Anolis sagrei: one gene and its partners. The protein of the gene in region 2 purifies or fractionates together with the protein of the main gene of each other region. This does not show direct contact. Links are inferred from orthologs where the notes say so. Each region holds a gene or a part of one and is shown on either strand. Other genes may lie near its edges. The genes, in order: MIOS, SEC13, KLHL12 and SEC23A.

Region 1 (7,265 bases), on a different chromosome or scaffold from region 2:
TCTAGGACAGCAAAACTAACTAAAATGGACTGAGGCTATTGTTACACTGTGATGATGCAGCCTGGGACATTTTTAATACAGAAGAAGTGAGACAACAGAAGATCAGCTGGGACTATCCCCGGCAAATCAGAAGAAATGGTGCATATGGCAATGGGAAAGACAATTTGCTCAAGGTTTCTGGCTGAGAGTCTAAGAGACCTGGGTTACAATCCCCCATTCAGTCAATAAAACCCATTAGGTGAGGCACACTTTCTCAGCCCTAGATGAAGCTGGAGGTACCTCCCTGCCCTTTTGAAATATATTGTCTAGAAAACTTTGTGAAGGTTCACACACACACCCAAAGGAGACTGAGAGGAGAGGAGAGGGAGAGAAGGTGGAAGGAAGAATCATAGAGGGTTGTTGTGAGTTTTCTGGGCTGTATGGTCATGTTCTAGAAGCATTCTCTCCTGACGTTTTGCCTGTATCTGTGATAGGCATCCTCAGAGGTTGTGAGGTCCTAATCACCTCTCAACAAAGGATTTTCCCAGGCAGTAGCAAGCCACACCTAAAAACTGTCAGGCCATCGAATGCTAATCAAGGTGACCAATTGAAACAGTCACACCTACCTCAAACAGACAAGAGTTCTTTCTCTCACCCTGGACCTTCCACAGATATATAAAACCATTTTCCTAGTTTCCAACAGACCTCACAACCTCCGAGGATGCCTGCCATAGATGAAGGAGAAACGTCAGGAGAGAATGCTTCTGGAAAATGGCCATACAGCCCGGAAAACACACGACAACCCAGTGATTCCAGCCATGAAAGCCTTCAACAATACAAGAATCATAGAGTTGGGAAAGACAACATGGGTTATCTAGTCCCATCCCCTGCCATGCAGGAAAAGCATAAAGTATCCCTGACAGATGGCCATCTGTTTAAAAGCTTCCAAGGAAGGAGCTTCCACCATGCTCTGAAGAGAAGAGTCCCACTGTTTAACACAGGGGTCCTTCAACTAAGGCCCGGGGGCTGGAAGCGGCCCTCCGAGGTCATTTACCCGGCCCTCGCTCAGGGTCAGCTTAAGTCTGAAATGACTTGAAAACACACAACAATAACAACAATCCTGTCTCTCACGACCTCCACTGAAACGAGCTCTCCTCCGTAAATAATCTGTCCTTGTTTATCTTGTGTTTATCTCGCCTGAGTTTTTAATCTGTTTCTACCCAGTTTTCTTTTATCCATTACATGTAGCTCGCCCATGTTATTGCGTTTATTGTAATTGTATATTGTTATGTTGTCTTTTGTTTTATGTAATTGCGTTATTATTGTTTATTATTTGCGTTTTCGGTTTTGCTTTATTTCATGTAAATGTTGTTTTGGGCTTGGCCTCATGTAAGCCGCACCGAGTCCCCATTGGGGAGATGGAGCGGGGTACAAATAAAGTTTATTACTATTATTATTATTATTATTATTATTATCAGCCAAAAGTAGGCCCACACTTCCCGTTGAAATACTAATAATTTTATATTTGTTGAAATTGTTCTTCATTTTAATTAATGTATTGTTTTAAGTGTTTTTTTGCACTGCAAATAAGATATATGCATGTAGCTCGCCCATGTTATTGTGATTATTGTAATTTTATATCGCTATGTTGTCTTTTGTTTTATGCAATTGTGTTATTATTGTTTATTATTTGTGTTTTCGGTTTTGTTTTATTTCATGTAATTGTTGTTTTGAGCTTGGCCTCATGTAAGCCGCACCGAGTCCCCATTGGGGAGATGGAGCGGGGTACAAATAAAGTTTATTATTACTATTATCAGCCAAAAGCAGGCCCACACTTCCCATTGAAATACTAATAATTGTATATTTGTTGAAATTGTTCTTCTTTTTAATTACTGTATTGTTTTAAGTGTGGGTTTTTTGCACTAGAAATAAGATATATGCAGTGTGCATAGGAATTCATTCATTTTTTTTTCCAAATTATAATCCGGCCCTCCAACAGTTAGAGGGACTGTGACCTGGCCCTCTGTTTAAAAAGTTTGTGGACCCCTGGTCTAGATCAAGGGAAGTCAGAGTGCCACTCTATTCTGCTTTGGTCAGACCTCATGTTGTTCATTCGTTCAGTCATCTCCGACTATTCGTGACCTCATGGACCAGCCCACGCCAGAGCTCCCTGTTGGCCGTTACCACCCCCAGCTCCTTCAAGGTCAGTCCAGTCACTTCAAGGATGCCATCCATCCATCTTGCCCTTGGTCGGCCCCTCTTCCTTTTACCTTCCATTTTCCCCAGCATAATTGTCTTCTCTAGGCTTTGCTGTCTCCTCATGATGTGGCCAAAGTACTTCAACTTTGTCTCTAGTATCCTTCCCTCCAATGAGCAGTCGGGCTTTATTTCCTGGAGGATGGACTGGTTGGATCTTCTCGCAGTCCAAGGCACTCTCAGGGTCAGACCTCAAACTGTGTCCAAAAGTTTGTGGACCCCTGGTTTAACAGCTCATAGGGGCAGGAAGTTCTTCCTAAGGTTCAGGTGGAATCTGCTTTCCTGTAATTTGAACCAACTGCTCTGAATCCTAGTCTCCAGGGCAGCAAAAAACAAGCCTGCTCTCTCTTCCTTATGACACCCAGAGAAAAAGATTGGAGAAAGAGAGGGGGATAATAGGGAGGTGGGGAGAGGAGGGAAGGAGGAAAAGTGAGGAAAAGGAGGGAAAGAGAAAAGGAGGGAAAGGAGGGAAAGAGAAAAGGAGACATAGACGAAGAAACAAGAGACTGGGGAGAGAAATAGAGAGAAACTGGGGAAATGGGGTGAGCGATGGAGAGAGAAAGAGGAGAGGGAAGGAGGGGGGAGAAAGTAAACAAAAGAGTTTGGGGGGAGGAAGGGAGAAAGGGAGGGACTCACCCCTTGACCCCTTTCCAGGACTCCGACCCTCGAGTGAAGCAGCAACAGCAGTCTGGGGAGACAGGCAAGGGCTCAGACATAGATCTAGGAAAGCTCTGGCACTAGGGCAGCGCCTCCAGCTTGTAGAGAGGCTTCCACTTCCGGCGTCAAACCCAACTACATCCGGAAGGCGTGGCTAGAGAAGTGACTTTGAGGACTTTGAGGTGGGCGGGACTTCCTCCTCTCTGATCAGAGTAAGTCTTCTCTAGGACTCACCCTGATCAGAGGGGAGGAAGTCAGGAAGTGGCTGCAAGTGGGATTCTGCCTTATGGACAGAGCAATTCTGTCCACATAGAATCCTCCGGTGGCGCAGTGGGTTAAATAAACCCTTGTGCCGGCAGGACTGAAGACCCGATAGGCCGCAGGTTCGAATCCAGGGAGAGCGCGGATGAGCTCCCTCTGTCAGCTCCAGCTCCCCATGCGGGGACATGCGAATTTTTTTCCTGGCAAAATAAATGACAGAATAGGAGCATTTGACCAGTATTTAAGATGTGGTGTCGAGGAAAGCCTCCCAACATTTACTATCTCAGCCTAGCATTTGCTGACTTTATTACCAAGATTCAGTGTCATTTTGTTTGCTTGTTTTGGCTTACTGTGGGGGTTTTTTTGGGGGGGGGGGGATTCTAAATTCTAAATTTTATTTCATTTTGTATTGATTTTGTAAAATTACTTAAATTCACTTTCATCGAATTTTAAAAATCAAAGGCACAAACTGAACACGAACCAACAATGTGATGCAGCAGCTTAAAAAGCCAATGCGATCTTGAGCTGCATAGAATCATAGAATCAAAGAGTTGGAAGAGACCTCATGGGCCATCCAGTCCAACCCCCTGCCAAGAAGCAGGAATATTGCATTCAAATCACCCTTGACAGATGGCCATCCAACCTCTGTTTAAAAGCTTCATTCAAATATTTAAAATATTGCATTCAAATCACCCCTGACAGATGGCCATCCAGCCTCTGTTTAAAAGCTTCATTCAAATATTTAAAATATTGCATTCAAATCACCCCTGACAGATGGCCATCCAACCTCTGTTTAAAAGCTTCATTCAAATATTTAAAATATTGCATTCAAATCACCCCTGACAGATGGCCATCCAACCTCTGTTTAAAAGCTTCATTCAAATATTTAAAATATTGCATTCAAATCACCCCTGACAGATGGCCATCCAGCCTCTGTTTACAAGCTTCCAAAGAAGGAGCCTCCACCACACTCCGAGGCAGAGTGTTGCACTGCTGAACGGCTCTCACAGTCAGGAAGTTTTTCCTCGTGTTCAGATGGAATCTCCTCTCTTGTAGTTTGAAGCCATTGTTCCGTGTCCTAGTCTCCAAGGAAGCAGAAAACAAGCTTGCTCCCTCCTCCCTGTGGCTTCCTCTCACATATTTATACATGGCTATCATATCTCCTCTCAGCCTTATCTTCTTCAGGCTAAACATGCCCAGCTCCTTAAGCCGCTCCTCATAGGGCTTGTTCTCCAGACCCTTGATCATTTTAGTCGCCCTCCTCTGGACACATTCCAGCTTGTCAATATCTCTCTTGAATTGTGGTGCCCAGAATTGGACACAATATTCCAGGTGTGGTCTAACCAAAGCAGAATAGAGGGAGTATAGTGTCTAGATCAGGGGTCCTGAAACTAAGGCCCGGGGCCCAGATACGGCCCTCCAAGGTCATTTACCTAGCCCTCGCTCAGGGTCAACCTAAGTCTGAAACGACTTGAAAGTACACAACAACAATCAGTCATCAGTCAAGAGCAGCCCCACACTTCCCATTGGAATACTAATAAGTTTATATTTGTTAAAATAGTTCTTCATTTTAATTACTGTATTTTTTTAAGTGTTTTGCACTACAAATAAGATATGTGCAGTGTGCACAGGAATTCATTCATGTTTTTTTTTTCAAATTATAATCCAGCCCTCCAACAGTTTGAGGGACTGTGACCTGGCCCTCTGTTTAAAACGTTTGAGGACCCCTGGTCTAGATCAAGGGAAGTCAGAGTGCCACTCTATTCTGCTTTGGTCAGACCTCATACTGTGTCCAATTCTGGACATCACAATTCAAGAGAAGTATCGACAAGCTGGAAAGTGTCCAGAGGAGGGCAACTAAAATGAATGGTAAAACATCAAAACAACTGGCTGTCCCCTGGGCAACGTCCAGTTCTCTCACACCAGAAGCGACTTGCAGTTTCTCAAGTCACTCCTGACACAGGGGGAAAAAGGAGCAATAGAACTCTGCTGGGTTCAATGAGGCTGATTCCTACATTAGGTCTTATATAGGACCCACCCTAGCAATAAGCCTCAGCAGAGCTCTATGGCCAAATACACATTCATATAATTGCTCTATCCATAAGGCAGAATCCCATTTGCAGCCACTTACTTCCAATTAATCTTATAGCCACTTACCTAAGAGTAATCACAGCATCATTGAAATAGAAAACCAAGTAAACCTCAAAGGTTTAACCTCAATTGTGACCTTGAACAAGTTGTAAGTAAAAATCAAGATGGAAATGGTATGGTAGATGGAAGCAAAGGGAGCAAGCTTGTTTTCTGCTGCCCTGGAGACCAGGACGCGGACCAATGGCTTCAAACTACAAGAAAGGAGATTCCACCTTAACATTAGGAAGAATTTCCTGAGTGTGAGAGCTGATCAGCAGTGGAACTCTCTGCCCCTGTGTGTGGTGAAGGCTCCTCCTTTGGAGGCTTTTAAGCAGAGACTGGATGGCCATCTGTTGGGGGGTGCTTTGATTGCGATTTTCCTGCGTCTTGTCGGGGGTTGGACTGGGTGGCCCATGAGTCTCTTCCAACTCTATGATTCTATGTGTATATGGCACCCTAATATCGCATGATACAAAGTGGGATATCAATATTTTAATAAAATCAGATCACTTATTTATTTATTTCGGGTACTTTTACCCCGCCCTTCTCAACCCCCGAGGGGGGACTCAGGGCGGCTTAAAAAAAGGCACAATTTGATGCCTATACAAAATTACACACAATGTACAAAACCATAGTTAAAACAATTATCACAGTTAAAACAATCAAAACAATCAATATCCAACAAAGGATTCCCCTAGGCAGTAAGAAGCCAGACCTTAAAACTGAAAGGCCATTAAAGGCTAATCAAGGTGATCAATTGCAGCATTCATACTTGCCTCAAACAGACAACAGTTATTTCTCCCATCCTGGACATTCCATAGATATATAAACCCCATTTTCCTAGTTTCCAACAGACCTCACAACCTCTAAGGATGCCTGCCATAGATGCAGGCGAAACATCAGGAGAGAATGCTTCTGGAACATGGCCATACATCCTGGAAAACTCACAATAACCCAGTGATTCCAGCCATGAATGCCTTCGACAATACACAGACCACTTTTATTTTATTCTTAGGGGTTAAACAACAATAATAATAGAAAAAAAGAATAATAGAAAAGAAAAAAGTTTGGATTATTGGTGTCGCCATACCAGGTGACAGTCAAATTGATGAAAAACAAAAGGAAAAACTCAGCCATTATCAGGACCTCAAACTGGAACTGCAAAGGCTCTGGCATAAACCAGTACAATGGTAATTGGCTCACTGGGTGCCGTGCTAAAAGTTCTATTTGAAAACAATAAACATTGACAACAAACATTGGCCCTGAGTCGCCTGCGGCTGCCCTGTGTCACCTTCGGGCTGATATGGGCGGGATATAAGTGATGTAAATAAATAAACAAACTATGACAAAATCACGATCTGTCAACTGCCAAAGGCTACCTTACTTGAATCTGTGTGCATCATTCGCAAATATATCACAGTCCAAAACACTTGGAAAGTATTTGATTTGTGATTTTGTGATACGAAATCCAGCATATATATATCGTTTGCTGTGTCATACCATGTTTTTGTGTCAGTAAAATAATAATAATTTCTTACCTGCCTCTCCTCATAGCTTGAGGCAGGTTACAACACATGATCATCATAAACATACACCTATTGAAATGTATTTCTACAAAACACATATTAAAAGACATAGAACAAAGATTAAATCACAAGAGTTTCAAATTCATGATTAATAGGCCCTGAATGAAAAGAAATGCCATTGGAAACCACAAGGTGGGGCTCAAATCCACAGTTCATCAGCAGAAAAAGAGATGCAGGGAAGACATAATCATTTTGGGAACTTCCGACATGCTTATTCCAATTTCTCTTAAACCTCTTGCGCTTGAGAAGTCAATTTCTAAGTCTGCCTGAAAAAACATACACCAATTATCACAGCAATTCATACATTCTGACATTTCAGATGTGATTAAGGAACATCAGGGTTTGACTAAGATGCCAAAATTATTAATCAGGGAGAACACAAAAGCTTGTAGATGC
Region 2 (7,188 bases):
CTATGCTTGTTGTTAAGCTTATTAGTTCTTGCCAGCATCCCCCCTCCCCCTCCTCCCCCCTCCCCACCACACTCTCAATCCCAGGTTCCGGGCCACCTCCTCTTCCGCCCCCTCCGCCACAGCAGAGCAACGTAAGCAGTATCCAGAGGGGGGCAGGGGACCACATGGGTGGCGACGATTCAGATGGTGGTATCGATATAGCCAGTTCTTAAAGTGCAAAATATCGTCAGGTCTTAAAGTGCCAATTCTTAAAGTTCTTAAAGTGCAACAATTTCTGGAACAGTCCGTCAATGAACGAGGATGATCGTAAATGATCGTAAATTACTCAGCAGCAACACACATTCAAAAGCACATTGATAAATGCTAGATCTAAAGTGCTCTACTTAACGGTATAAAGTGCGGCACGGAGGGACAGGGAAGGGGTGAAAGTGCTGATGCAATCTAGCAGCAGATGGAAGACGCTTGGGTGTTCCAAATCGTTCTTATAACAATGATAACAATAACAACAAGGACTACCGGGAGGTGCTAGTTGATAATTATACAACTACCCGTGTACGATAATGGTAGTGGTTAACTAATATTGCTATGACCCCCAATCGGGCTTAGACGGTTGGTAACCAGCGGATAGGCTTCCGGAGTTGGTACCTCGGGGGTGGGGCAGCACAGATGGTTAGTCACACTTTGCTCAGAGGATCACAGAGGGGAAACAGAGGGGAAACCAGCTTAAAGATCTCCAAACAAAAAGAGAACCCGAATGCCGGCCAAAGGTCCGCACAGCTGTCTACACGAGAGTAGCATTCAGTAAAAGCGGACTTGCCCAAAGGTGGAATGGCTCGGCGGCCCAACAGCGGCCCAGCAACCCAGTGGGGCCTAGCAACGATGACTTTGCAGCTGGCAGCACTCGGCCTTTCTTCCGGCCAAGCGGCCCTCGGTTTCAACAATAGCCTGATGGAGGTTGGCAGCACGAGGTCCTCTGTACCGGCGGGTGAAGATGAGAGGCGAGATGGGTTCAGCCGACAATGGGGAGCTCGGTGTAGAGACTCGAAAAGCTCGTTAAGATGGAGGGTGAAGCTCGTCTAAAATGGAGGGTGAAGACGGACTCGCCTGATGGCCAAAAACGGGCCCAGCAACTCAGCAGTGGCCCAGCAGCCCGGCAAAGCCGCAGCGATGACTCTCTACCGGCCGCGGTTGCGGGGGCTAGGGAGCGCCCAACCCCCCACCCGGCGGCCGGCGGCGGCGGCGGCAATGGTCCGGCAGCGGCTGCTCAGCGGCTCGGCGGCTCGGCGGCTCGGAGCGGCGGCCCGTCACCCGGCTTCAGGCTTCCTCGCTCCCCGGCGGCGGTTCGTCACTCGTCACCTGGTAGGCGGCGATTCGCCGGCCCGGCGGCACGGCGGAGGGGGCCAGGCAGCCCTCGGCCCTTCCTTCCGGCCAGGCTGCCCTCGGCCGCGGCGGCCCAGCGGCGACCAGGCGTCCTCCCTCACGCTGCCCTTCAGCAGCCTGCCAGTGGCCCTCGCAACGATCCTCCTACCATCAATGGTGGCAGCGGGCCAACGGTAGCGACAACGGCAGCTGCAGCGATCTCGGCGGCCGTACTAGAAGGCGGTAAGATGGCGGGCGTCTCCTTCCCCTTCTCAATCTCCCGGGTTTTTTCGCCTTCCCCAGCCTCTTTTCCGGTCTTCCGCCCCTCTATCAGGGGCTTGAGGCTTGGGTTTCTCTCACCCCCCGTCTAAGAGATGGTAGGCAGGGGGGGGGGGGGGCTCCGGATTCCCCCAGATTGAAAAATTTGGCTGAGCAGCCCAGCGTTTGCTGCCAGCCACCATACCGGAACCGGAAGCTTGTATACCGCCTTTCTCAGCCTATAGGCAACTCAAGGTGGTTAAACTCTGCTATGGCTGACTTCTTTGGTTGAATTTGTCTGCAATGCCTTTCATGTTACGTGATGGGCCACACAGTTTACAGAAATCCTACACAGCCATAGCAGAGCACTTGATGAACCAACCTGTATACAGCATACTATTTGAGAACACAGAAATGTTGGACCACTATGACAACCACCATGTCAGGCTACACTGAGAAGTCATTGAAATCCACAATGTGGACAATTTCAACAGAAAGGAGGAAACCATGAAAATGAACAAAATCTGGGTACCAGTATTTAAAAAACTCTAAAATCAGGAAAGTAAATAAAGAACAACACTAAAAAAAAACCCCAGAGAATTCCAGACAAGAAACAATCAGGGACAGTTAACACCTCCCAACAAAGGATGTCCCAGGCAGGAAGCAGCAAGTCTTTGAAGCTGCAAAGCTATTCAATGCTAATCAAGATGGCCAACTGCAACATTCACACTTGCCTCAAGCAGACAAGAGTACTATACCCATTTCACAGCCAATAAACTGAACTGTCAAGCCAGTACAGAACTAAACAACAACAATCTCACCATACTAGAAGATTTTCCGATCCAGAGTTTATCCTTTTCGCACTAATCCAGTTTTCGCTTTCAAAACAGTGCAAGGTAAGCGCCCTTTAAAACAAACCCAAGCAACCCTGTGAGAAGAGCCTCCAGCAAGGTATAACTCAGGGGAGGGGATTCACCTTTGAACACTAGTAGTATGGAACAAAGTACAGAACTGCCTTTCAGCCTCCAAGTTAGGGAAGGGAAAGACGTGTAATCAGGTCTGGGCCAACTTGGGCTTAAGCGGCTGAGGGGGGAAAAGGAAAAGGCCTGAGGCTGTGAGGAATGGTGGGAGTTGGAGTCCAAAACTCCTGGAGGGCCCAAGTTGGCCCAGGCCTGTTTGACAAGGCCTTTCGCCTTCTCCGCTGGGCCTCCTCCCTCCTACCCATCCCCGGGCAGCTCCTCACCATGGCGGCGACGGCGGAGGGACCTTCGGCAGGACCGAACCCGGCTGCAGACACGGCTCTCCCGGCAGCACTCAGACGTGGCAAAGCGCCGCCGAGGCGTGGGTCCAACACGGAAGCGCGTCCGGGCGGAAACATCGTCCCCCTGTAGGCGGCACAAAGGTTCCGCCTGCAGCTTGGTTCCTCCTCCTCCTCCTCCTCCTTCTCCTCCTCCTCCACTGCACGAAGTGGAGGTTCCAGGCCTCGATTCACCGACACTGGAGGATGAATGCAGTTCGACACCACTTAACATGCCTCGTCTCAGTGCTCAGGAATCCCGGGAAATGTAGCACCGGGACTGTAGCGTAGCTGGTTGAGTGTCAGCTGCATTAAGATCACTTCTGAGCAAAAGGTCATGAATGAGTTCAAAGCCAGCCCGGGTCGGAGTGAGCTTCCGACCATTTGTGTAGCTTGTTGTCGACCTTTGCAATCCGAAAGACAGTTGCATCTGTCAAGTAGGAAAATTAGGTACCACCTAGGTGTGGGGAGGATAATTTAACTAATTTATGAGGCAAGAAAAAAGACTCCAGCAAAAGCATGCTGGGAATGCGGAAGTACTTCATTATTATTTTTTTGTCGTGTCAGGAGTGACTCCTGGTGTGAGAGAATTGGCTGTCTGCAAGGATGTTGCCCAAGAGACGCCTGGATGATTTGATATTTTTATCATCCTTGTGGGAGGTTTCTCTCATGTCCCCGTATGAGGAGCTGGAGCTGATAGAGGGAGCTCATCCACCTCTCCCTGGATTTGAACCTGCGACCTGTTGGTCTTCAGTCCTGCTGGCACAGAGGTTTAACCCACTGCGCCACCGGGGGCTCCTTAGTACTTCATTAGTGTCACAGATGGACGATGAAAGCAACAGCTCCCCTGGTGGCCAGAAAAAAGTTAAATAGCCTCTGCCTGTCTGTCTATATCTGTTGTGTGTCTTTGGCATTGAATGTTTGTCCCCGGCGGGGTGAGAAGGGCAGAATATAAATACTGTAAATAAATAAATAATAAATAAATATTTTTTCCAAGGCCTTTAGCCTTCTCTGTCAAAGAATGTAGTTCCAAATTACAACTTCTATGACTTCCTAGCATTACAATGGTAGGTAAAGGTAAAGGTTTTCCCCTGACATTAAGTCCAGTCGTGTCCCACTCTGGGGTGTGGTGATCATGTCCATTTCTAATCCAAAGAGCCAGCGTTGATCGTAGACACCTCCAAGATCATGTGGCCGGCATGACTGCATGGAGCGCCGTTACCTTCCCACTGGAGCGGTACCCATTGATCTACTTACATTTGCATGTTTTCAAACTGCTAGGTTGGCGGAAGCTGAGGCTGACATCGGAAGCTCACGCCGCTCCCCAGATTCGAACCTATGACCTTTCGGTCAACAAGCTCAGCAGCTCAGCGCTTTAACCCACTGCGCCACCGGGGGTTCCTTATAACCCAGCATATAAAAACAAATTATAACATAACATCTAAAATTAAAGTACATCACGATCTATCAATTTATGAATTAAATGGAGGACACGTGGCTCTAGAGCAGTACGTGTGAAAAAGATCTTGGGGTCCTTGTGGCCAACAAGTTAAACATGAGCCAACAATGTGATGCGGCAGCAAAAAAAGCCAATGGGATTTTGGCCTGCATCAATAGGAGAATACTGTCTAGATCTCGGGAAGTCATGCTGCCCCTCTATTCTGCCTTGGTTAGACCACACCTGGAATATTGTTTCCAATTCTGGGCACCACAATTGAAGAGAGATATTGACAAGCTGGAATGTGTCCAGAGGAGGGCGACTGAAATGACCAAGGATCTGGAGAACAAATCCTATGAGGAGCGGCTTAAAGAGCTGGGCATGTTTAGCCTTCAGAAGAGAAGACTGAGAGGAGACATGATGAGGGCCATGTGTAAATATGCAAGGAGAAGTCTTAGGGAGGATAGAGTTGGCTTGTTTTCTGCTGCCCTGGAGACTAGGACACAGAACAATGGCTTCAAACTACAAGAAAGGCGATTCCATCTGAACATTAGGAAGAACTTTCTGACTGTGAGAGCTGTTCAGCAGTGGAACTCTGCCCCGGAGCGTGGTGGAGGCTCCTTCTTTGGAAGCTTTTAAACAGAGGCTGGATGGCCATCTGCCGGGGGTGCTTTGATTGCAATTTTTCTGCTTCTTAGCAGGGGGTTGGACTGGATGGCCCCTGAGGTCTCTTCCTACTCTATGATTCTAAAGCTTGGGTCCTAAAATAATGCAGCTTGACACTCCTTTGACTATCATAGCTCAATGCTATGGAATCCTGGGAGTTGTAGTTTGTAGTTTCCTCCTTGTCATGGAAGTCCTGATAAAAACTACACATCCCATGGTTTCATAGCAGTGGGCCATGGAAGTTGAAAGTGCTGTCATGTTGCATTCATTCTGAACAGTAATACCCTGACATGACCTACCTTTGGAAAAATGCCTTCAGTAGCACGTTCTTTTACCTGCTGTGCAATCTCACACTACTCTATTTTTCTGGATCCCCTGTCCAGATACATTACACTGCTGTCTCAAGCAGTGTTTTTAAATTTTTAATCCATTGAAATCAGCCCACTCAATATGATCAATCTCTGTGTTTCAAATGTTGTGATTTTATATTGTTGATGTGTTCTTAAAGTGGTTTTGTGTTGTACTTTATTTTATTTTTATATTTTTGCTGTGTCCTGTTGCATATTGTTGTACTGTACTGCTGGGCTCGGCTTCATGTAAGCCGCCCCAAGTCCCCTTGGGGAGATGGTGGCGGGGTATAAATAAAGATTATTATTATTATTATTATTATTATTATTATTATTAGCCGCCCCCTGCCATGCGTTGCTGTGGCCCAGTCTGGTGATCTGGAAAATAAAGTAATGAGAAAGTGTTGGTTTCTAATATACTGTATGTAATTTATTTATGCTTGTGGGTAAACAGTATTTCTTGTTGTTTCTTTGTCAGTGTTGATGTGAAGATTGTCTAGTTTGCCTACTCTGGAACATGCAACATATAATTGTCCTTCTTTAGGGGTCCCTTTCAAATCTATAATACTATATCTCTCTGTGTGTGAATCATATATATCTATCTATGGCTGGATGGCTCTTTGTCAGGAGGATTTTGATAACGTTTTCTTGCCCTGGTGAAGGGAGTTGGACTGGGTGGCCTTAAGTATTTTCTGTTGGTCATGGGGGTTCTGTGTGGGAAGTTTGCTCGAGTTCTGTCATTGACAGGGTTCGGAATGCTCTTTGATGCATTTATTTATTTGATGCATTTATTAACCGCCATTCTCAGCCCTTTAGGGCGACTCTTTGGTTGTAGGTGAACTATAAATCCCAGGAACTGCAACTCCCAAGTGTCAAGGTCTATTTCCCCCAAACTTTATCTGTGTGCATATTTGGGCATATGGGATAATTGTGCCAAGTTTGGTCCAGATCTATCATTGTTTGAGTCCACAGTGCTCTATGAATATAGGTGAACTACAACTCCCAAACTCAAGGTGAATGCCCACCAAATGCTTTTAGTGTTTTCTATTTGTTATGGGAGTCCTGTATGCCACATTTGGTTCAATTCCATCATTGGTAGAGTTCAGAATGCTCTTTGATTTTAGATTAACTATAAATCCAAATAACTACAACTCCCAAATGTCAAGGTCCATTTCCCCCAAACTCCATCTTTGTTCGTATTTGGGCGCATGGAATATTCATGCCAAGTTTGGTCCAGATACATCATTGTTTCAGTCCACAGTTCTCTCTGGATGTAGGGGAACTACAACTCCAAAACTCAAGGTCAATGCCCACCAAACTCTTCTAGGGTTTTCTGTTTGTCGTGGGAGTCCTGTGTGCCGCGTGTGGTTCAATTCCATCATTGGTGGAGTTCAGAATGCTCTTTGATTGTTGGTTAACTATAAATCCCAGCAACTACAACTCCCAAATGACAAAATCATTTTTTTAGTGTTGGTCACTCCTTGGGTTAGTAGGTGTCTTGTGGCCAAATTTGTCAGCAATTCGTCCAGCGGTTTTTGAGTTATGTTAATCCCACAAGCGAACATTACATTTTTATTTATATAGATCATTATTACTCTGCAATATAGATTCACAGTATAGAAGACAAAGGTAAGAGTGTGACGTGTTAGCCAACCCTTGCATTTCTTCCACTGCAGCAATGATCCACTGGGAAAGAGGAGGGAAGATCCTGTTTCTCTTTCCCTCCTCCTCCTCCTCCTCCTCTTTTTTCTGCTGCTGAATGTAACTGGAGAGGCCGCTGCGGATGTCTGCCGCCAGGGGGCGCTGCCCGCTCACCCGCGGTG
Region 3 (6,898 bases), on a different chromosome or scaffold from region 2:
TTCTAAACACCATAGAATACCTCGAGAAGAACAACCAAGAAGAACTAGCACTACTAAGTCTTGACGCCGAAAAGGCGTTCGATAATCTCAATTGGAATTACTTAAAATTACTAATCAAAGAACTAGACTTAGGATATCAGTTCCATAATGCCATCAATTCAATCTATAACTCCCAAGAAGCCAGGATGATAATAAACATGCAAGAATCAAGCCCCCTGAAAATCTGTAAAGGCACGAGACAAGGATGCCCCCTGTCGCCTCTATTATTCATCCTGAGCTTAGAAACCCTTCTTAATTCTATCAGAGAGGATCCTGACTTAAGAGGCATCAAAATAAATAAGGAAAGATATAAACTAAGGGCTTTCGCGGACGACTTGTTGTGTATCATCAGCAACCCCATAGAAACAATCTCCAAATGGATAACTAAAATTAAAGAGTACGGGTCAGTAGCGGGCCTAAGGATAAATAAAAGAAAGACGGAGATACTAACTAAAAATATGTCCCAGAAAAGAAAGGAAGAGCTTTCCACCCTAACAGAATTTAAAGTAGTAGAGAAAATACGATACTTGGGAATAACGTTAACAGCTAAAAACTCCCAACTAATAAAAAACAATTATGAAAAGATATGGAAAGAAGTACAGAAGGATCTAGACAATTGGAAAAATCTGAAGCTGTCTCTGCTAGGGAGAATCTCTATAATAAAGATGAACATCTTGCCCAAGATGCTATTCTCTTTTCAGTCCCTACCAGTAATCAGAAATGTAAACATCTTCAAGCAATGGAACAAAACCATCTCCAAATTTGTATGGCAAGGGAAAAAGCCCAGGATCAAGCGTCTGATACTTATCGATGACAAAAGAAGAGGCGGCCCCGGCCTCCCAGACTTGAGGTGTTATTATGAAGCCTGCGGTCTGATATGGATCAGAGATTGGATCCTATTAACAAACAAAAACCTACTTTCCCTAGAAGGTGTAGACCTCAGGCGAGGCTGGCACGCCTATCTGCACTACGATAAAACAAAGATCGAAAGGAACTTTAACAATCATTATATAAGAGCAGGCCTAATGAAAATATGGGAGAGACACAAAAAAAGACTATATAATAAAACTCCACTGTGGCTCTCGTCCCTAGAAGCCCTTCACCGGAGAGAAATGGGCTGGCAACAATGGCCTACTTATCGCGACATCCTAGAAAAGGCAGAAGGAAAATATGTACTTAAAGATGAAAGGAAAATAAAAGAAATCTTTCCTAACCTCTCTTGGCTAAACTATAGACAACTGGTTGATAGCTACAAGATAGACAAAATCGCAGAATTTGCTGATCAAAATGGTTTCCTGGACAGCATATTGAAGACAAACAACAAACTTATCACAAAACTCTACAAAAAATTACTAGAGTGGACCACTGAAATGGAACAAGTAAAAAACTCAATGATCAAGTGGGCCCAAAACATAGGCCACCAAATTGAACTGAATAAATGGGAGAAAGTTTGGAACCAAAGAATGAAATTAACCTACTCATATGAATTAAAAGAAAATCTTGTCAAAATGATCCATCGGTGGTACCTGACTCCTCAAATCATTTCAAAATGTTATAAAAACACCTCAAACAAATGTTGGAAGTGCGAACACCAGATTGGGACTTTCTTCCACATCTGGTGGTCTTGCCCCATAGCCAAAAGATACTGGACAATGATTCAAAAAGATATTCAAAAGATCTTAGGAATACAAATAGAAAACAAACCAGAATTCTTTCTCCTGGGAATGTATGACATTAAGGAGGAAAAAAATAATGACAAATTATTCCATTACTTAATTACAGCAGCACGGATCGAATTCGCTAAAAAATGGAAACAGAGAGAAGCCCCTCAAAGAGAAGACTGGATCAATAAAATCCTTGATATAATGACCATGGATGAACTGACATATTGGGTAACACCAAACCATGGCATCCCAAGTAAACCTACGAACTGGGGCTTAGTAAAGGTCTTCCTTAAGAAATTGAAAATAGACATCATTTATTAAAAATAAAAATAAATAAATAAATAAAATCACAAAAGAGTAAATCACAAATCCAGTGTCGCAAGAAAGGAAGAAGCATTAAAGAAGCTAAACTGAAAATATTTATAGAAAATCCTCATTGAAGAGATGGAAGCTCAAAGTTTTTAACTACCCTATAGCCCACCCACCCCCCCTCTACCCCTGCCCCATCTTCATCCGACCCCTTCCCTACCTACCTCCCCACCCTACATCCCTTGGGAGTATCGCCAATAACAGGGCACCCCTGTATTTTTCCTACTGCACTATCCGCTATATATTGTTCTCCCTCTATCTATGTATTTATGTATCTATGTATTTAATAAAAATTTATTAAAAAAATAAAATAGTTTAACTTTTTTTTGTCATGTCAGGAGCGACTTGAGAAACTGCAAGTCGCTTCTGGTGTGAGAGAATTGGCCATCTGCAAGGACGTTACCCAGGGGACGCCCGGATGATTTGATGTTTTTATCATCCTTGTGGGAGGCTTCTCTCATGTCCCCACATGAAGAGCTGGAGCTGACAGAGGGAGCTCATCCACCTCTCCCCGGATTCGAACCCACTGCGCCACCAGGGATTCCAGTCATTTAACATTGGATCAAACTTAAAGAGCACTTTAAAAAAGTTATAGTTGCCCCTCTGTATTGGCAGATTCAGCCCTTTGAAGTCAACTATCAGGCAGATGGCGCCTTCAATGAGAATGAGTTTGAGGCCCCTTCCACACAGCTGTATAAAATCCACACTGAACTGGATTATATGGCAGTGTGGACTCAGATAACCCAGTGCAAAGCAGATACTGTGGATTATCTGCCTTGATATTCTGGGTGATATGGCCGTCTGGAAGGGCCCTGAAACCCCTGAGCTAAGGCCCCTTCTATACTGCCATATAAAATGCAGATTAGTTGTTTTCATAGAATCATAGAATCAAAGGGTTGGAAGAGACCTCATGGGCCATCCAATCCAACCCCCTGCCAAGAAGCAGGAATATTGCATTCAAATCAACCCTGACAGATGGCCATCCAGCCTCTGTTTAAAAGCTTCCAAAGGAGCCTCCACCACACAGAGTTCCACTGCTGAACGGCTCTCACAGTCAGGAGGTTCTTCCTCATGTTCAGATGGAATCTCCTTTCTTATAGTTTGAAGCCATTGTTCCGCATCCTAGTCTCCAAGGAAGCAGAAAACAAGCTTGCTCCCTCCTCCCTGTGGCTTCCTCTCACATATTTATACATGGCTATCATATCTCCTCTCAGCCTTCTCTTCTTCAGGCTAAACATGCCCGGCTCCTTAAGCCGCTCCTCATAGGGCTTGTTCTCCAGACACTTGATCATTTTAGTTGCCCTCCTCTGGACACATTCCAGCTTGTCAATATCTCTCTTGAATTGTGGTGCCCAGAATTGGACACAATATTCCAGGTGTGGTCTAACCAAGGCAGAATAGAGGGGTTATTTCCCTAGATCTAGACACTATGCCCCTATTGATGCAGGCCAAAATCCCATTGGCTTTTTTTGCCGCCACATCACATTGTTGGCTCAGGTTTAACTTGTTGAACTGGATTAGAGGGCAGTGTAGACTCATATAATCCAGTTCATAGTAGATAATGTGGGGTTTTATTCAGGTGTGGGAGGGACCCCAGAGAGCAAGCACTGCTCCATCTCCCTTGACTTCTGCTTGACTGAGGGACTTTATCACAACGCGGAGGCCGAAACGTAGAAACTCCCTGTTGCTTGGCAACCACAAGGAAGCCGAATCCCTCCGCCCGCGACGCGCCTTTTCGCCCATTCAGCCGCTAGGCGGCGAGGCTTCTCTTCGCGCAGGTTGAAACCAAGGAGCGGCGTCCTCGCGGCTGACGTCATCCAGGCGCGCCTGATGCGGCGGCAAAGGAAGAGGAGGAGAAGGAAGGAGCGGGACGGGCGGGCCGCAGGAGCCGGGACTCTCTCCCCTCCTCTCCCCTCCCCTCCCCGCGGGGAGGGCGCGGCCGACGGCACGGGCGGAGGGCCTGCTGGGAGGCGGAGAGGCGGCCCGGCCGGCCCCTTGCCGCCCGAGGAGGCTGAGCCGGGAGCCAGGCCTCTGGGCCGCCCCCCAGGAGGGAACGCCAGGTAAAGGAAGGAACACAGCCCCACTTGGCGGCCTGTCTAGTGTTATCAGGCCTTTGTCACTGAAGGCATTCCCTATTGGAAAACAAAGTATTCCGTTTCAATGTACCTGAATTCCTCTACACTAGTCATGGGCCAACTTGAGCCCTCTTTCCAGGTGTTTTGGACTTCAACTCCCACCATTCCTAACAGCCTCAGGCCCCTTCCTTTCCCCCCTCGAAAGGAAAGGGCCCGAGGCTGTTAGGAATTGTGGGAGCTGAAGTCCAAAACACCTGGAGGGAAGGCCCAAGTTTGCCCGTGCTTGCTTTAGATTCTGGTGAACTGTAGTTGTCATTTTACAAGACCTTCACCTTCCTCCCCTTCCTCAATGGTGGGAGTAGAAGTCCAAAACACCTGGAGGGAGGGCTCAAGTTGGCCCATGCCTGATCTACACTATGCAGTGGGATGTTTGGGTTCTAGTAATCATCATTTGAAACTCTATACCCCACCGTTACAAGGGATAAGGGTTTAATTTGTGGCTGCAGAGATAACAGCGATTACGAATTGGGTCCCTCTTTTTGAAACACTCAGCACTGTATATGATGTTGTGTAAAAAAAAAAGGCCTTCTCTGTGGTGGCTCCTGAGCTGTGGAACTCCCTGCCTAGGGATATTAGATCAGCCCCTTCCCTCCTGACCTTTCAAAAAAGAGTGAGCAAGCGTTTGGAACCACAGCATGACCAAAAACTCATATTGGAAATGAACTAGGGAACAACTAAGATAATGGAACGGTTGAGGATTTGAACAAGAAGACAGTTTATATAATTTTTATTAATCATTGGTTTTTATAGTTTTTAAATGTATTGTGATGTTTTGCTTTTACATATGTATGTATTTTTTAATACATGGCATCTAATTGTTGCCAACTTGTACGCCACCCTGAGTCACCCTCAGGCTGATATAGGCGGGATACAAATGTCTTAAATAAATAAATATTTATATCCTGCTTTTGGAGCCCCCAGTGGTACAGCAGGTTAAACCGCTGAGTTGTTGAACTTGCTGACCGAAAGGTCAGCAGTTCGAATCCATGGAGCGGGATGATCTCCCACTGTTAGCCCCAGCTTCTGCCAACCTAGCAGTTTGAAAACATGCAAGTATGAGTAGATCAATAGGTACCGCCCTGGCTGGAAGGTAACAGCGCTCCATGCAGTAATACTGACCACATGACCTTGGAGACTTCTACAGACAACACCAGCTCTTTGGTGTAGGAATAGAGATGATCACCACCCCCCAGAGACGGACACGACTAGGCTTAATGTCAAGGGGAAACCTTTACTTTTTTTTTATCCCACCCTATCTCCCCATGGGGTATACACTCCCAATGGGGTGTATATTAAAGCCAAAATAATGAAGGCATTATTAAATGTTTAACTTGTGACCTTTGGTCCACCATGTATTTACATCCCTACTGAGTATTCGTGGAGTCTAAACATTAAACTAATTCATGTTATATATACACCATATATATAGAGAGAGAAGTAGCCTGGAGGTAATTTTGTGCACAGTGTTTTTAATAATGTGTATGAAACATGGATTGTATTCATTGAACCATCAGAAAGCAAATATTTATTTATTTATTTACAGTATTTATATTCCACCCTTCTCACCCCGCAGGGGACTCAGGGCAGATTACAATGCACATATACATGGCAAACATTTAATCCCATTTAGACATGCAACATATATAGACACAGAGGTAATTTTACATTCCAGCTTTTCTGGCTTCATGAGGATATGACACTCAGTCATCCATGTGAACCAGGACAGTTAAAATAGTGCCAAACAGCATTAATTCTACAGTATAGATTAGGCATGGGCAAATTTCAACCTCCAGTTGATTTGGTCTTCAACTCCCACAATTCCTAACAACCAGACAAATTGAAGTCCAAAACGCCTGGAGGGCTGAATTTTGCCCCGGTATAGATGCACCCTAGATGCCCTCAGATACATCAGACACTTGATTTAAAAAATATTTTCAAGTTTTAGATGGTTGAATCCATGGAAACTAATGGCCAACTGTATTTTGAAAATTCGAATGCATCTTTTGTTAACCTTACAACTAATATACTAAAATTATATATACCATATGTGTGTGTATGTATGTATGTATACACACACAGTATAATAGGAAGATTTAAAAGTAATAGAAATGTATGTCTAACCTAGGCAACTTCTGAATTTTCCTCGCTCCATCTCCCTGCACTGTCACTGATCCACCTTTATTACATCTTGTCCTTACATCTGATGTTTGTATTATCTCAGTCTGTGGCTTTGTATTGTGTTGGTGTCCTACAGTGCACCTACTGCACATTTGATAATAAGCCAATATTTAATAGTTGATTATTTTGAGGTATATTGCAATGTAACTGAATAGAAGAGTTTGCATGAAAATGGCTAGAGCAGAATGATCTACAAGCTAATTTATAGATATGTACAGGAGAGACAAAGTTCCTCATTCTTCATCTTTAGACTTTGTTAAATTTGGCCTTGTGTTCATCAGTAAACAGATGTTTTTATCCCACAGGTTACTGATACGTTGAACCTGCCTCCACAGCTCTCTTGTTGGCTGGAGTAACTCACTATGGCTCCTAAAGATATAATGACTAATTCTCATGCCAAATCCATTCTCAATGCAATGAATTCTCTGCGAAAAAGTAACACGTTATGTGATGTGACCCTTCGTGTGGAACAAAAATACTTTCCAGCCCATCGGATTGTGCTAGCTGCTTGCA
Region 4 (7,343 bases), on a different chromosome or scaffold from region 2:
ACCTCCAAAGAGGGACTCACTCACACACTCCTTCAGCATAAACCCTCTATCTATAAGTGGCACCAATTGAGAATATCTCATCTGGTGCATTTTGGAAATACACCAAAATTCAAACTGTCCAATAATAGTAGTAGTAGTAGTAGTAGTAGTAGTAGTAATGTAGTCAGTACAGAATATGTCCAAAGGGTCAGAAATATTTTGAAGAGCAAATTAAATGGCAGAAATACGATCAAGGCTATGAACACCTGGACCATCCCCATCATCAGATACAGTGCTAGAATTGTGAACTGGACACAAGCAGAGCTGGATGATCTGGACAGAAAAACAACAAAACAGATGACAATCCACTACTCATTTCACCCTCATAGTGATATTGACAGACTTTACCTGCCCAGAAAATCAGAAGGCAGAGGGCTTCTGCAAGTGAAACAAACAGTAGAAGAAGACTAACATGTACTGGCAGATTATGTGAAGGACAGTCAAGAACCAACATTGATGGAAGCCAATAGTAGAAAACTGCTTAAAGTGCAAAAGACAAAGAGGGAATACCGTAAAAATACAATGCAGAAGAGAAGACTGGCAAAAGAAAGCTCTCCATGGACAATTCCTGGGAAAAACTGAGAACAAAATTGACAAAGAAGAAACATGGATGTGGCTCACAAATGGAACTTTGAAAAAGGAGACCGAAGTCTGAATTCGGAAGTAGTCTGACGTGTTCATTTTCTGCAACTTTTCCAGGCTTGTGATCCCACCAGTTCTTTGTCAAAGGCAGATAGTATTTGTGGCACAAGTTCCAATGGATCATTTGAGCAACAGTATTATGCCTCTGCATGTAGTCAGTCTACACGATCATCATGCAGAAGTTAAGCATATGATCCATCGTTTCATCTGCTTCCTTGCAGAGTCGACACTTGGGATCTGTCATCAACTTTTCAATTCTGGCTTGGATGGCATTGGTTCTAATTGCTTGTTCTTAGGCTGCAAGAATCAGTCTCCTTTTTCAAAGTTACTTTTAGGAGCCACATCTATGTTTTTCCCTTGTCAGTTTTGCTCTCAGTTTTTCCCAGAAACTATCATAGAATCATAAAGTTAGGAGAGACCCTGTAGGCCATCCAATCCAACCCCTGTCCACAGAGAGTCTTCTTTTGCCAGATTATTATTATTATTATTATTATTATTATTATGAAACATAACAAGATTAGTACACATCAAACAAGATCACTATGCTAGCTGTTGTATAGAATCACACATCAGACACTTCCGAAGTGTCTAGGACTGTGTGATGTATCGGCGAATAATGCATGCAGATCCAAGTAGGGTGGCCTATTTCAGCTGACAGATGGTAATTTTGTCAGCGCCAATTGTGTTTAAGTGCAGGCCAAGGTCTTTAGGCACTGCACCCAGTGTGCCGATCACCACTGGGACCACCTTTACTTTAATTATTATTATTTTAATGACACAAAAAACACAGTATGTTACAGCAAACAAGATCTATATGCTGGATTTCGTATCACAAAATCACAACTCAAACACTTCCCAAGCATCTAGGACTGTGTGATGTATTATGTATTTTTGAATGATGCGTGCAGATCGAAGTAAGGTGGCCTTTTGCAGTTGACAGATCGTGATTTTGTCAATGTTTATTGTTTCCAAATTATTATTATTATTATTATTGACACAAAAGCACAGTATGTCACAGCAAACGAGATCTATATGCTGGATTTCGTATCACAAAATCACAAGTCGAACACTTCCCAAGTGTCTTAAGATTGTGTGATGTATTTTTGAATGATGCACACAGATCCAAGTAAGGTGGCCTTTTGCAGTTGACAGATCGTGATTTTGTCAATGTTTATTGTTTCCAAATAATAATAATAATAATAATAATAATAATAATTTGGGGGATCCAAATTATTATTATTATTATTATTGTATCCTTCAGTCTGTTTGTCCATGTCTTTGTCACCCTTTGGTGTCTGCCAGGTGGCAATAATTGTTTTAAAAAAAGAATATTCTGGGAGAGATAGATCCCCAAGAATGCTTTGAGCAACTGCCATGGCTCAATGCTGTGGGTAATTAATGGGAGTTATAGTTTGGTGAGGAATAACCCTTGGGGCAAGAGGAGGCAAAAGACCTTAATAAACTACAACTCCCATGACCACAATAACCTTGAGTGAAGGCTTTGAGCAACTGCCATGGCTCAATGCTGTGGGATAATTAATGGGAGTTGTAGTTTGGTGAGGAACAACCCTTTGGGGCAAAAGGAGGCAAAAGACCTTGATAAACTACAACTCCCATGACCACAATAGCCTTGAGTGAAGGCTTTGAGCAACCGCCATGGCTCAATGCTGTGGGATAAATAATGGGAGTTGTAGTTTGGTGAGGAACAACCCTTTGGGGCAAGAGGAAGCAAAAGACCTTAATAAACTACAACTCCTATGACCACCATAGCCTTGAGTGAAGGCTTTGAGCAACTGCCATGGCTCAATGCTGTGGAGTAATGGCAGTTATAGAGGTGCTCAAAAGAAAACACCAATTTTACAGTGTGTGGGTGCTGTGCTCCCTTATACTTCCACTCTCTTCAGGCAACCAGGGAAGGGCGAAAAGGAAAGGAGGCGTGGTGTTAAATTCTTCTTTTCCTTCTTTGCATTGACAACAACTGAAACCACAGCTCCCAGGACTCTATAAGCACTGAGCCAGGGCAGTTACAGGGATGTCAGGAGGCTACAACTACAAACTACAGTGTAAGCCAGGCATGGGCAAACTTGGGCCCTCCTGAGAGCGACTTACCTCAGCCACACCAAGTCGAGGCCTCGCTGGGACTGGGTCTGCGCCCCTCGGCTGCCGAAGAGGAGGAGGAGGAAGGGGCGGGGGCCTTTCCCTCAGCCTTTCTGGGCCTCTCTCAGCCTCCCCGCCGCACTCTGGACCCAGCGCCGCCGACGCAAACAAACATGGCTGATGGGGAAGCCGGTGCCACGTCGGAGGCAGAGCGAAGGAGAGCAGGAGGCGGCGGCCAGAGAAGCAGGCCCCGCCTCAGATACACAGAGAGACAGAAGGAGGAGGAGGAGAGGCTACACTGCTATATGTGTGCCTGCACACTATTTAACAGTGATGGGGGGCAAACTTGGGCCCTTGAGGTGTTTTGGACTTCAACTCCCACCATTCCTAACAGCCTCAGGCCTCTTCTTTCCCCCCCCCCCTCAGCCACTTAAGATGAGACTGTTGGAAGTTGAATTCCAAAACACTTGGAGGGCCCACGTTTGCCTATGCCCGTTCTTCCAGCAGTCACCAGTCAATCCCTCTGCGATGCCAGAAATATAGCTTAATGGTGTAACATTAGAAAATGTTGACCATTTCCGCTATCTTGCCAGCCACCACTCCACAAAAGTCAACATTGACACTGAAATACAATACCACCTGAGCTCTGCGAGTGCAGCATTTTTCCGAATTAAGCAGAGAGTGTTTGAGGATTGGCACATCCATAGGAAGACCAAGGTGCTTGTTTATAAAGCTATTGTCCTCCCAACCCTATATGCCTGCAAAACATGGACTATCTACAGATGTCACGCTCAACTCCTGGAACATTTCCATCAGCGTTGCCTCCAAAAAATCCTGCAAATGTCTTGGGAAGACAGGCGGACAAATGTCAGTGTGCTGGAAGAAGCAAACCACCAGTATTGAAGCAATGCTCCTACGCCATCTACTCCGCTGGACTGACCACATCAGAGGTCCTCAAACTAAGGCCCGGGGGCCGGATGAGGCCCTCCAAGGTCATTTACCCAGCCCTCGCTCAGGGTCAACCTAATTTTGAAAGAACTTGAAAGAACACAACAATAACAACAATCCTATCTCATCAGCCAAAATCAGGTTCACACTTCCCATTGAAATACTAATAATTTGATATTTGTTGAAATTGTTCTTCATTTTAATTATTGCATTGTTTTTAAGTGTTTTTTGCACTACAAATAAGATATGTGCAGTGTGCATAGGAATTCATTCACTTTTTTTTCAAATTATAATCCCGCCCTCCAACAGTTTGAGGGACGGTGACCTGGCCCTCTGTTTAAAAAGTTTGAGGACCCCTGGACCACATTGTCCAAATGCTCGATCACCGACTCCCAAAGCAGTTACTCTACTCCCAAATCAAAAACAGAAAATGGAATGTTGGTGGACAGGAAAAGAGATTTAAAGATGGACTTAAAGCTAAACTTAAAAACTGTGGCATAAACTGGGAAAGTCTGGCCCGTGAGCGTTCTAACTGTACGTCAGCTGTGACAAGCAGTGCTGTGGAATTCAAAGAGGCACTAATGGAGGGCGAAAGGGAGAAATGTTTCAAAGGAAGGTGCGTCAAGCCACCCCTTGTCAAGACCATCTTCCATCTGAAAATCAATGTCCTCTCTGCGAAAGAACATGCGGGTCCAGTCAAGTCACCTATGGACCCACGGCCAATCATACTTGGCAGGCAATCATACTCGGCCACAAGTGATAGTCTATGATGAAACAGGCTAAAAGTACCAGATCCCTTTTCATCTGGAAGCTAAACAAGGTTAACCCTGGTGTTGGTTCTTGGATGGTACTAGCTAACAAATACCAGGTGCTGTAGGCTTTTTTCTAGAGGGAGGAACTGGCCAAACCACCTCTGAGATTCCTTGCCTAAAATAACACGATGAAATTCAGGGTGTTGCCATAAATTGTTATGCAACTTGAAGGCGCATTCAGAGTATCATTTGGGTGGTGCAAACAACACTAGACTGTCTCTCTTTAAAATGTTTGTGCAAGTGTTTCAGCAGAATCTCTTTAAAAATCCTATTATTAGATGAAACACATTTTTCACAAGCCCAGTTTACATGTCCCACAATATTACACCTGCAAGCTAAAACACACTCTGCTCATTCACTTTGTGAACCTCCGAATGTGCATATGCTCCGGTCAACGCTGCCATTGGCCTCATCTACACTGCCCATTTAATGCAATACAAAGTTGGCTTCAAACTGTGGCAGCCAGACAACAAACTCCTGCAAAAGCACCACAAAAGAAAGCCCTTGATGCGCATCAGTGCTCTGCAGTTTGTATAATCGCCATCCGTGCCTTACACCAGTTCTATGTAGTATTTCCTATGTGGTCATTTGCACAGCCAAACCACTTTCTTCAAAAACTGGTTTGAAACTGCACTAAATGGTCAGTGTAGACAGGGCCATAATGATTCCAATCCAATGCTTCATAGCATGCAGTTTCATTGATTTGCCCGTGTTATAAGAACACAGTGTTGTTATTGCTGCTGTTTTTTTAAAAAATAGTTGCTGATTTGTTCAATACTCTGGTACAGGTTGTGTGTAGCTTTTTTGGAATTCTGAAAACCAGAATTGCCCAAATGGGTGGCTGAGATAATTTCTATATTTTCGCTTTCTGATAATTCAGTGAATCACACTATGTCTCATATACAAAATTATTCAAAATATTGCATACAAGTACCTTCAGAACATGCATGTAAAGTTTATAGGAAACAAATGAATTCCATTTTTAGACTTGGCTTTTACGTTATGTATCTATATGGAAATACAGATATTCCAACATCCGGAAAAATCCAAAACACTTGTGGGGACGGGGGGGGGGGGATTTCATGCAGAACTGTAAGGTGATAAGAGGTACATTTTGGAGGTCCATCATCTATGTTCCTCATGTTATATTGAGGAAAATCAGAATGCTTTAACACTAACAAATGTATTGCTATTGATGGCTGGGGGAATTTGCCAGCTGAAAAAATACAGTATGGTATAATTGTTTTGAGTGTATATTTGTATCATGACGCATTGAGCCATGGCAGTTAAAGTGTCAAACTGCCTTAATTCTGCAGTGTAGATGCACTCTCAGTATTTTGATGTGTCTTACAATTTTTCCTAGGGATGAAAGATGTAGAGTTGGACTCCTTTTTTAACAGGTGCTTATTTTTGTCAAGTACCCTATCACCCTTCCTTATTGCAGATTATTTATATGTGCTTGATTTCATTTGCAAACACTTTTTTCATCCTTGGATTTCAGTGTAGCAAAATCACCCTCCTTTCACAATGGTTTCCCCGGTTCTTCAGGATTCTGCTCTGTTTTGGTCAAGAATTGTATTGGCCTTGCTGCAGATGAATAATTAATAATATATATTAATATATTATTAGTAAAGGTAGAGGTTTCCCCTTGACATTAAGTCTAGTCATGTCCAACTCTGGAAGGCAGGCATGTAGCCGGGGGGGGGAGCTTGAGGGGCTTCAGCCCCCCCCCCCCCGAAATTCTCAGGGTGGTCCGCAAGAAGGCCTTACTGATCCATTATTTCAACTATTTATTCATATGTTTATTCATATCATGATCTGTTTATTCATATCATGATCTGATCACCATGCTCAATATATCCCATATGCATGGGGGTATTGGGGTAACGATACAAAAGGTTTGCTAGGGTAGACCCTCTTTCACTCAGACTCAGCCCCGCCCGAATCAAAATCCTGGCTACGGGCCTGCTGGGAGGTGGTGCTTATCTCAATTTCTAAGGTGAAGAGCTGGCATTGTCCATAGACACCTCCAAGGTCATGCAGCCAGCATGACTGCATGGAGCACCATTATCTTCCACAGAAGCAGTATCTATTGATCTATTCACGTCTGCATGCTTTCAAACTGCTAGATTGGGAGAAGCTGGGGCTTACAATGGCAGCTCACCCCACTCCCCGGATTCAAACCAACATTTCAGTCAGCAAGTTCAGCAGCTCAGTGGTTTAACCCCAATATACTATTAATATATTATTAATAATATATTAATAATAATATATTCTGATTATATAATAATAATATTAGTAATAATATACCTGTGTTGTGTACTGTACTGATGGGCTTGGCCTCATGTAAGCTGTACCGAGTCCCCCTGGGGGAGATGGAGCGGGGTATAAATAAAGTTGTTGTTGTTATTATTATTATTATTATTATTATGTGTTCTTTCTGTAAACACCTCCCATAGGAGATGGTGCCAAACAGAAGTATTTGCTTTTGTGTCTGATGACCTCTTCCCTTTGCCCTAAATAGTTCCACTAAGCATCAATGATCATCTTTAATAGGTGTTGTATTTCCCCATCCCTTCAAAGTAGAGAAATCCTTTTTTTCCTGGAGATCATGATGATCTGGCCCTCCTGACAGTTGCACTGCAATTTCCATCCAGCATGACCTAAGAATTAAGAAATTGACGTCCAAAATGCCTTAAACTGAGACTTTCCATCATTCCTCCAGGCTTGGAAAAGCAAGCCAAAGAAGGCTACGACAGGAGGAGGCGGAGCTATGTAAATAAAAGGCGCTGGGCATTATGGGAG

Evidence for each region.
Region 1: the proteins of SEC13 (region 2) and MIOS purify together in Homo sapiens (affinity purification with mass spectrometry; 5 studies listed by BioGRID and IntAct, counting the BioPlex papers as one, with this or other methods). This does not show direct contact. The link is inferred for Anolis sagrei from reciprocal best matches to the Homo sapiens genes SEC13 and MIOS.
Region 3: the proteins of SEC13 (region 2) and KLHL12 purify together in Homo sapiens (affinity purification with mass spectrometry; 3 studies listed by BioGRID and IntAct, with this or other methods). This does not show direct contact. The link is inferred for Anolis sagrei from reciprocal best matches to the Homo sapiens genes SEC13 and KLHL12.
Region 4: the proteins of SEC13 (region 2) and SEC23A fractionate together in Homo sapiens (co-fractionation; 3 studies listed by BioGRID and IntAct, with this or other methods). This does not show direct contact. The link is inferred for Anolis sagrei from reciprocal best matches to the Homo sapiens genes SEC13 and SEC23A.

The regions. Positions count from the first base shown.
Region 1 is NC_090026.1:99,931,856-99,939,120, forward strand, and holds the start of MIOS (GATOR2 complex protein MIOS), read right to left. Parts: upstream 3,023-7,265; 5' UTR 2,872-3,022; intron 1-2,871. UniProt on the Homo sapiens protein: As a component of the GATOR2 complex, functions as an activator of the amino acid-sensing branch of the mTORC1 signaling pathway. The GATOR2 complex indirectly activates mTORC1 through the inhibition of the GATOR1 subcomplex.
Region 2 is NC_090022.1:49,892,468-49,899,655, forward strand, and holds the start of SEC13 (protein SEC13 homolog), read right to left. Parts: upstream 3,011-7,188; 5' UTR 2,996-3,010; coding exon 2,861-2,995; intron 1-2,860. UniProt on the Homo sapiens protein: Functions as a component of the nuclear pore complex (NPC) and the COPII coat. At the endoplasmic reticulum, SEC13 is involved in the biogenesis of COPII-coated vesicles.
Region 3 is NC_090024.1:206,377,261-206,384,158, forward strand, and holds the start of KLHL12 (kelch-like protein 12), read left to right. Parts: upstream 1-3,878; 5' UTR 3,879-4,132; intron 4,133-6,690; 5' UTR 6,691-6,747; coding exon 6,748-6,898. UniProt on the Homo sapiens protein: Substrate-specific adapter of a BCR (BTB-CUL3-RBX1) E3 ubiquitin ligase complex that acts as a negative regulator of Wnt signaling pathway and ER-Golgi transport.
Region 4 is NC_090021.1:303,519,757-303,527,099, forward strand, and holds the start of SEC23A (protein transport protein Sec23A), read right to left. Parts: upstream 3,009-7,343; 5' UTR 2,791-3,008; intron 1-2,790.